Coturnix japonica: one gene and its partner. The protein of the gene in region 1 purifies or fractionates together with the protein of each later gene. This does not show direct contact. Links are inferred from orthologs where the notes say so. Each region holds a gene or a part of one and is shown in the gene's direction. Other genes may lie near its edges.

The links. Proteins that work in one complex are often made in the same cells at the same time.
Region 2: the proteins of ZFYVE27 (region 1) and VAPA purify together in Homo sapiens (co-immunoprecipitation; 3 studies listed by BioGRID and IntAct, counting the BioPlex papers as one, with this or other methods). This does not show direct contact. The link is inferred for Coturnix japonica from reciprocal best matches to the Homo sapiens genes ZFYVE27 and VAPA.

What each region holds. Positions count from the first base shown.
Region 1 is NC_029521.1:19,457,403-19,461,639, reverse strand, and holds the start of ZFYVE27 (protrudin), read left to right. Parts: upstream 1-1,410; 5' UTR 1,411-1,438; coding exon 1,439-1,647; intron 1,648-1,721; coding exon 1,722-1,792; intron 1,793-2,018; coding exon 2,019-2,205; intron 2,206-2,325; coding exon 2,326-2,421; intron 2,422-2,581; coding exon 2,582-2,694; intron 2,695-2,777; coding exon 2,778-2,908; intron 2,909-3,260; coding exon 3,261-3,332; intron 3,333-3,499; coding exon 3,500-3,520; intron 3,521-3,707; coding exon 3,708-3,852; intron 3,853-4,117; coding exon 4,118-4,164; intron 4,165-4,237. UniProt on the Homo sapiens protein: Key regulator of RAB11-dependent vesicular trafficking during neurite extension through polarized membrane transport. Promotes axonal elongation and contributes to the establishment of neuronal cell polarity.
Region 2 is NC_029517.1:88,648,748-88,652,965, reverse strand, and holds the start of VAPA (vesicle-associated membrane protein-associated protein A), read left to right. Parts: upstream 1-1,408; 5' UTR 1,409-1,540; coding exon 1,541-1,616; intron 1,617-4,218. UniProt on the Homo sapiens protein: Endoplasmic reticulum (ER)-anchored protein that mediates the formation of contact sites between the ER and endosomes via interaction with FFAT motif-containing proteins such as STARD3 or WDR44.

The sequences.
Region 1 (4,237 bases):
CACCAGCCCCACAGGTGGCCGGGGCTGTGCGAGATCAGCAGAAGCACTGGGCAGCCAGAGACTGGGAAGTGTTGGAGGAGCACCATGCTGGAGCTGCTTTGGTTACCAGCTGTCCTCACCCTGCTTGAGGACACATTCTGCCATTGCTTTCAGGGCAGAAAAGGACTGCCCCAGCCCCTGTGTTAGGCTCAGTTTGGAGAGCTGTGGCCCCCGCAGCAGTCACCTGGTGCCTTTTTGTGGGGCTAGCAGCAGCGATGGCACGGAGGGGCCAGGTTGGCACTAGATCACAGCTTCCATCACCGAGGGCTGTGTCAGCAGATACCTGTGTGCTCCCACACTCTGCCAGCCCCTGGGCCAACCCCTGGCAGGATGTGCTATCCCCACCCTGTGTCAGGGCTGGTCCCAGACACTGCTGGCTCCCGTGTGCTCTGGTGCAGCCCCAAGGCCCAGGCTGCCCACACACAGGGAGGCTAGCGCTGCCATAAGTGCCTTACCCCACAACCCCACGCTGCCTGTTGTACCTGCCGCTGTCCCACTGCAGTCCCTTCTCTGGTGCCTTTGGATTCACATTCCAAATAAAGCAACACTGATGCTCACTTGGTGTCTGGGGTTTTGTAGCAGGACTGGGACCTGCAGGGATCAAGAGATGATCACTTACACTCAGCTCTGCAGCCTCGGGGTCACCCCTCCTGGAGCAGTGATTGCAGGGGCCCACTGTGCTCTGGGGCTGTGGGTGCTGAGCTCTGGAAGAGGGGCTCAAACCCCTGCCCTGAGGATGGGCTGCCCCAGCCCTCTCACACCATGGGAGGGATGGAGCAGAACCTGGTGTTTGTGTATCATTACAGAGCGATTATGTTGGAAGGGACCTTAAAGCCCACCCAGTTCCACTCTGCCACAGACTGGTTGCCTGGAAGTATATTATCCTCTGGATACTGTTCCTTCTCCCTTCTGCTGTACCAGCTGCACCGTGCATCTCAGTGCCACGAGGTTCCATGCACACGGAGCAGCCCGCCCTTCAGCTCCATATCCTACAGCTCACAGATACAAGGGCCGGGAACACCGTGTGCTTCCAGGCCCAGACACGCCTGTGTGCGGTGACACGGGGCGCTGCTCCGTGGGATGGGCCGCGCTCATCGTGGGGTGGGAGCAGGAGCACAGGCTGCTCTGCGGCTCCCGGCCTCTTACAGCCCTGCGAGCTGGGCCGGGGCCGAGTGAGGCCGAGTGAGGCCCAGCTCATGGTGAGGCCCGGCGCACCCCGCGCCCTCCCATGGTAACACACCCACTGCCGCCCCGCCGCCACTTCCGCCCTTTAACCATCGCTTGGGCGGAGCTTCCGTCCCCACCTCCCACCTCGGCTCTTCTGATTGGCTGCGTGCCGCGCCGCCGGGTGACGTCACGGCGCACCTGGCCGCTTCCCGGAAGTGCGGTGCGGTGCGGGATGCAGGCGGCGGAGCGGGACGGGCCGGCTGCGGGCGGGGACGGGGCGGCACCGGCAGCACCGGGGGGCGGGGAGGGGTCGGCAGAGCCGCTATCGACACCCAAGGCCGCCGCCTTCGACCTGCTGGACCTCGTGCGGAGCTACCGCCGGCTGCAGATGTACCTGGAGCCGCTGCGGGATGCGGCCGAGGGCGTGCGCTGCCTCCTCCGGTAGGTGCGGGACGGGGCCGGGACCGGGGCTGGGCCCGCAGCTCATTGGCAGCTCATTGTGTGCTGTCCCACAGGTGGCAGCGGCCGCTGTGCTCCATGATCGTCTGCATCGGCCTGAACTTCCTCCTGCTCACCCTGGACCAAGGTGTGTGTGTATGTGTGTACATGTGTGTATTGTGTGTGTATGTGTGTGTATGTGTGTGCATTGTGTCCATGTGTGTGTATGTGTGTGTGCATTGTGTCCATGTGTGTGTATGTGTGTACCTGTGTGTGTGTATGTGTGTGCATTGTGTCCATGTGTGCACTGTATGCGGGCAGTGCTGTGTCCCATCCCACCTTCCTGCCGGCTGATGCTGTGCTGTGTCCCGCAGCCGCCTGGTACTCGGTGCTGGCGCTGCTGGTGGTGCTGCCGGCGCTGCTGTGTTACCTGCAGGAGACCTGCCGTGTCCGGCCCTCGGAGCGGGAGCTGCTGCGCAGGAAGTACCACAGCGTGCGCCGCGAGGACCTGCGCAAAGTGCAGCTGTCACGCCAGGAGGCTCTGACCCAGGTCAAGTGCTTGTGAGTGTCCAGCACCCTCCTGTCCTGGGGCATCACCTTCCCTAGGTCGTGCTGTGTGAGCGGAGCAGGACAGGCTGTGTGTTCGTGGGGCCGTTTCTTGACTCAGTGGTCTCGTTTCAGCCTGATCCAGCTGGAGGGGTTCCTGAGCGGGCTGTGTTACAGCTGTGAGGCGGCGTATCGAGTGCTGTACTGGGAGAACCCTTCTGTCTCTTCCCAGTGAGTAGGGCTGCATTGGGTGCCCTGCGTTGGGCTTAGCAGGGAGAGAGACCAGGCCAGTAGAGCTGCTCTTGTGTTTGGTGCTTGCGGAGAGCAGACAAAGGACAAGGAGAGGGACTGTGGGATTTCTGATTTCTCTTGACCTGCTGCTCTTTCCCAGGTTTTACGGAGCGCTGCTGGGCTCTGTCTGCATCCTTTACCTGCTGCCACTCTGCTGGGTCATGGCCATCCTCAACAGCACCCTCTTCCTGGGCAACAGCCAGTTCTACCAAGGTAAGGGCTCTTCCTGGAGGTAGCCTGTGTGGCTGGAGGAAGGGGAGTGCAACCTTGATCCATCTGTGTTCTCCTCTTATCAGTGATAAAGGAGCTCAAGGCCTCTGTTGAGCAGAGTTTGGGCACCAAACCTCTTGAGAGCCCTCCAGAGCCTGCCAAGCCCCTACCAACTGATGCCCCACCAGACCGGACTCCCACACCCACCAGCACAGAGGTGAGGGGTGGCAGGGCTCAGAGACTTGGGGTGGGAGCTGCAGCTTCAGCTCTTGCAACTGGTTTTGCTTCTGTCCATCTGCACACAAAATAGTTTTGCTGGAAGCCTGTGTACCTGGCTCGGGATTCCATATTGAACTGCTGAGGGGATGCCTTGCTCTGCTGGGTTCTTCACTCTATCTTGCTATGTGTGTGGAGTTACCCTGGAGAGGCAGGGGCTCTCCCTACCTTTTGATGCTCACTTTATGGGTCTGCCAGTGAGCTGGTGCTTCATTCTAGAGCTGCCTTGACAGTGTGGTCTTTACTTCAAAGGCGGGTGAAATAGGATAGGACTAGCTCTGATTCTCTTGCAGGATCTTACCCCTGGCAGCGTGGAGGAGGCAGAGGAGGCAGAGCCTGATGAAGAGTTCAAGGATGCTATTGAGGTTTGATCATGGTGGGGGTGGGCTGTGCCTGCAGGTCAGGCAATTGGGGCGGAGGACTGCTGTGACAGGGCAAAGTGGATGCCTGGGGAGGGCAGGAGTGGGGCTGGGCACCTCTGCAGTCTCACTCCATCTCTACTGCCTCTCTTTGTCCCATGCTGCGGGAGAAGGAGAACCAGCTGCTGGTCATGGTGAGTACTGCTGTGCTGAGGTGTGCGAGGGGGCATCTCTTCCCAGCTGGAGCTGGTAGCCTTTACCTGGTTTGGCAGTAGCTTGTGATGCTGACAGGTGAAGCATCCTGTTTTCATGCTTGTCTCTGGGGCAGGCTGCCCTATGGCCCCTCACTGCTTTTTGCTTATTCAGCTTTGCTCCTTATAGGAGGATGATGAGGGCTCTCAGTGTTCAGCAGATTTTGACCTCAGCCTCCCAGACAACGGTTTTATGAGCAAAAACGATGTGATCCGCAGCAAGGTGTCACGTCTGACTGAGCGCCTGCGCAAACGCTACCCCAGCAACAATTTTGGTAAGGCCGAGAGCAAGTGTTGTCTGGGGAACCTCAGCACTGTGGGGTCTGTGCTGCTGTTGGTGACCACTGAACTGTGAGAGGACAAAGTGACGTGTTACTTTGTCCTGGCACCTTAGTGACTCTTTCCCCCAATGGAAAGGGTATTTGTAGCTCTCCTGGGGACAGCAGGGTTGGGAGGGTCTGTACAACAAATGTGGGTGCTCTTGTGCCTTAGGGTCCCAAGTATCAGAACCCTGCCTGACCTCTTATCTTTCTCTTCTAGGGAGCTGTACAGGCTGTGGAGCCACCTTTTCTGTGCTGAAGAAGAGGGTGAGTCTTCAGTTTCTCCAGCTCACTAGCCACACTGGGGCAGAAGTTCTGTGTTGTGTCTGGCTTGACCTGG
Region 2 (4,218 bases), on another chromosome or scaffold:
TTTAATAGCAAACAGCTCTGAAAAATGTCAGGCAGTCTCCAAACTGAGATACTATAACAACAATGATGCTGAATTCACAATGTGAATAAACATGAAGATCTACAAGCACACAGGACAAATGTTAAACTCACGTTAAGCAAATGTTAGCTGCCTGCAAGCAGTGATACAGATACTAGAGACACCTCCGGAATGACATACTAGGAGAGTGGTTAGGCCCTGGAACAGGCTGCCCAGGGAGGTTGTGGATGCCCCGTCCTTGGAGGTGTTCAAGGCCAGGTTGGACGGGGCCCTGGGCAACCTGATCTAGTAAATGTGTATGTTTGGTGGCCCTGCCAGGCAGGGGGGTTGGAACTACATGATCCTTGAGGTCCCTTCCAACCCGGGTCATTCTGTGATTCTGTGAATGACATCTCACTGCAATTGGTGAGAGGTTTTGCTACTGACTGCAACAGAGTCAAGACAGCCTATTTAAAAAGAGAAAGGAGAGAACCTCTGGAGGTATTTAGAGTTTTGCAGCAGCTCCTCGTATCTCACAGAATCACAGAATTGTAGGGGTTGGAAGGGACCTCTAGAGATCATGGAGTCCAACCCCCCTGCCAAAGCAGGTTCCCTACACCACGAAATTCTTTGAGAAAAAAAACTCAGAAATTCTTCAGGTATATAACTACCACATAATTCCGGGGCTGAATTATTGCTTCAGAGAAACACTGTGGAGTAATCTTTGGTGAGTCCACGAGAGAAGAAATTCCATCACCCACACTCCGATCTTGCATGAACTCACCCAGGCCTTTCACTTTTCACCCACTCTTACCCTCTCTCCGGCAGCTTCAATGACACCACACTGAGACGCCAGGCAGAGCACGACGCCACATCACCACACACCACCCCAACCTGGACTACAGAGCCCACCAGGCACCGAGAAACACTACAACCCCCAGCGGCGCATGCGTGTGCCCCGGTGGCGCAGTGGTAGCAATGCCGCGTTGCAACACTGGAGGCCCTGGGTTCGAATCCCCCCTGTGGCGCAAGTGGTAGAAGTGCCGCTCTGCTACACAGGGCTCGAATCCCGGGGGTTGGACTCAATGATCTCTCAGGTCCCTTCCAACCCGCACAACACTGTGATACTGTGTGATGCGCAGCGCTCCCACAGCCCGTTCCCGGAGCGTGGATCCGCTCCTTCCCGCTCGGCTCCGTCGCAGGGCTCCCGTCAGGGCCGGCGACCGGCGGTGGGGGAGCGAGCGAGCAAAGCGGGAGGGCGCATGCGCACAGCAGGCCCGGTCACTGCCGCCTCCGCCCTCGTGCCCGCGGAGTGGCGGCGTTGCCGGGGGCCGCCGGTGCGACGTGGGGAGCGAGCGGTGAGCAGCGAGCAGCGCCGGGCTAAAGAGCGGCTGCACCCGCCGCAAGGCGTAGGGAAAAGCGCTACCGCCGCCCGGGCTCCCCGTCCCGCCCCTCGTTCTCTTCCTCCTCCTCCTTCTCCTCCTCCTCCCCCTCCTCCTCCCACCCTCCCCCTCTCCTCCTCCCGCCGTAGCGAACGAGCGAGATGGCGGCCGCCGGGGCTCTGGCGAAGCACGAGCAGATTCTGGTGCTCGATCCGCCCACCGACCTTAAATTCAAAGGTGAGGGGCAGCGGGGCGCCGGGCGGCCGGGGCGGGGGGTGTCCCGCTTCCCTCGGCCGTCGCGAGGAGCCTCACCCCGTTCCGCGGGGCCGGGCCCTGCCCGCTCGGGTCCCTCGAGGAGGCCGCCGGCGCCGGGGTGGGGGGGTGCCGCCGAGGCGGGGAGCGGGCTCGGCCGCCGCCATCTTGCGATCCCGCGGCGGCTCCGGCGTGTCCGCGGCCCCGGCAGCGCCGCGGCCCGGCCCCCGGCGGGCACCGCGCCCGGTCTGCCCGCACAGCGGCTCCGGCCGCCCCCTGCCATGAGTGCCTACACGGGCGGCTCTGCTGTCAGCTCCGCCGGCGCTGAACGCTGCAGGTAGGGGCGGGAGGGAGGTCCCCGGGCTGAGGTGTTTTCGGGCATGTCACGTTTGTCGGGTGCGCCGCTGTCGGAAGGGGCTGCGGTCGGCGCTATTGGTGTATGGGGTGTTATCCCCTCCTCACCAATCACTCCATTCCCACAGCTATCCCAGCTGTGGCTCCTGCAGAGTGATTCTGGAAAGGTGTGTGTTAAAAAGAGCCAAACGCAACGGCAAAGCAAACGTGCTAGAATGAGATGTTGCTCATATGCTTAGCTTACATCTTTTGTAGCTGGTGTCAACACTCGTACTTGCATAATCCCGTAAGTGTTGGTGTTTGGTTTTTATTAGGCTCGTTTTTCATTGTTTAAGGGGCAATCGAGCATCCTGCCCTGTCAATTTAGAGAGCTGAACAAGCAGAGCAGGTTGATGTTCATATCAAAGACAAACACTATTTCCCCCAGATACTTTTGTCTGGTCCTGGCAATAAGACTGAAGTCTGCTTCATCAAAGGGGCTTTTCACAAGCTTTACCTGTTTTGGAGAGCCATCAAATCACTTAAAACAGAAAAAAAGGAAGAATTCTGTCGTGTCACGCATCTTAACTTCCTAATAGCTGCAGTTTTGAAATTGCACATCCAAAGGTACAACCAAAACCACAGTGGGAGCTTATGTATTATGTTAGAATATCTGCACCTGGGTTTCAATGCGCTGCACTCTTGCAGGAGCAGGTTGAAGCTCCTGCATCTTGTGTTGTCTTCAAGCTGGAAGCAAACCGTGTTTTTGTGTGGTTTGAAACGGTGTTGGTGACAGTGAATACAGCGAGTACTAGACGTAGAAATTGTCAGGATGAAGCTATTGTCAGACAGTGATCGGTGCTGTCATGTGTTTACAAAACACGTTTATTAGGCACGAAGTTTGGTTTCATGCTCATGCACATGGTAGGAAAATGTTGAGCAGATTGAGCGAACCTGAAGTCTGAAGTGTAATGGAACTGCAGTGGGACACCATGGCAAGTGCTCTCTAATACTGTATTATTACTGTAATACGCTACAGCAACACCTACCTATTTAAAGAGCAGCTGGTGCTTTCACAGAATCACAGAATTGTAGGGGTTGGAAGGGACCTCAAGAGATCATCAAGTCCAACCCCCCTGCCAAAGCAGGCTCCCTACACCACCTCACACAGGTAAATATTTTCCACCTGCTTATTGTTCTGAGGTCTTCAGAAAGGTCTGTGGGCCACAGGTAGTCATACAATTCTGAAGTGTTGAATGGAAGAGTTCACTATTGGCTGAAGAGAACAGCAAGTATTATCTTTTGAAACATAATTGGTTACTAAGAGAGTGCATGACTCAGAGTTTCTCAGCGTAACTTCGATGTAGGAAAATCATATGATCTCTTTTTTTTTTTTCAGTGTAGTTGGTTATTCAGAATTGTTTACTGGGATGGTTGTCCAATATTGGTATTATCGTCCTAATACTGTTGATGTCCGGCCATCAGAACAGAACAAATAGCTCCATAGGTTTTCTTGCCTCATTCAGTGACTTGTAGAGAATTTGCCGACCTTTAGGGTAGCAGTGAAATGTGTTAAAGTGCCCTTTTGCAAACAAGGACTTAAATTAAAGGGTTGGTAGAACTTATGTGAGGAACACTTGACAGCACTTAAAATTCATCAGCACTGTCTGATGAAGCTGTTGTTGGCTCATAGAGAAACTACGTGCTGAATTTGATTCCGCACCTTTCAAAAGGAGCCTATAAACTTGTCTCATCGTGGTTAACACGCTGTGTTTGCTTTGGTGTCAGAAAGATTAGAATCCCATTCTTGTAGTACCTGGCATTCCTAGGAATCCACTGATAGCGCGTTGGTGTTGGGCGATTCCCTCTGCTGCTGTGATAGCTGCGTTTCTTTGGGTTGTGGGGCCATCAGGGATGCCTAAGGGGAACCACGAGGCAAATGTATTTTGGAGCGTTGTGCAAATGTGTCAAGAGGAACAGAATTGTCTGTAGGTCTCGTTTAAGGAAGATTATCATCATTTGGAACTGGTTCCTTGTGAGTAAATACCTTGGTTTTTTTAGATCTATTTTAGCTGCTGAACAGTCATGTAGTGGAATGACGACGCTTGAAGTTTTCAAGTCCAAACTTTCTAGTTTTGTGATGGAAACTCAGCTGGTCTTCCTGAAATCAAAAGAGACAGTGATGTAATTGCAAGTTAACTCACATTTAGGTTGTTCTTAGAAAATGGTTCTTTTAAGAAAAAACATACTCCAG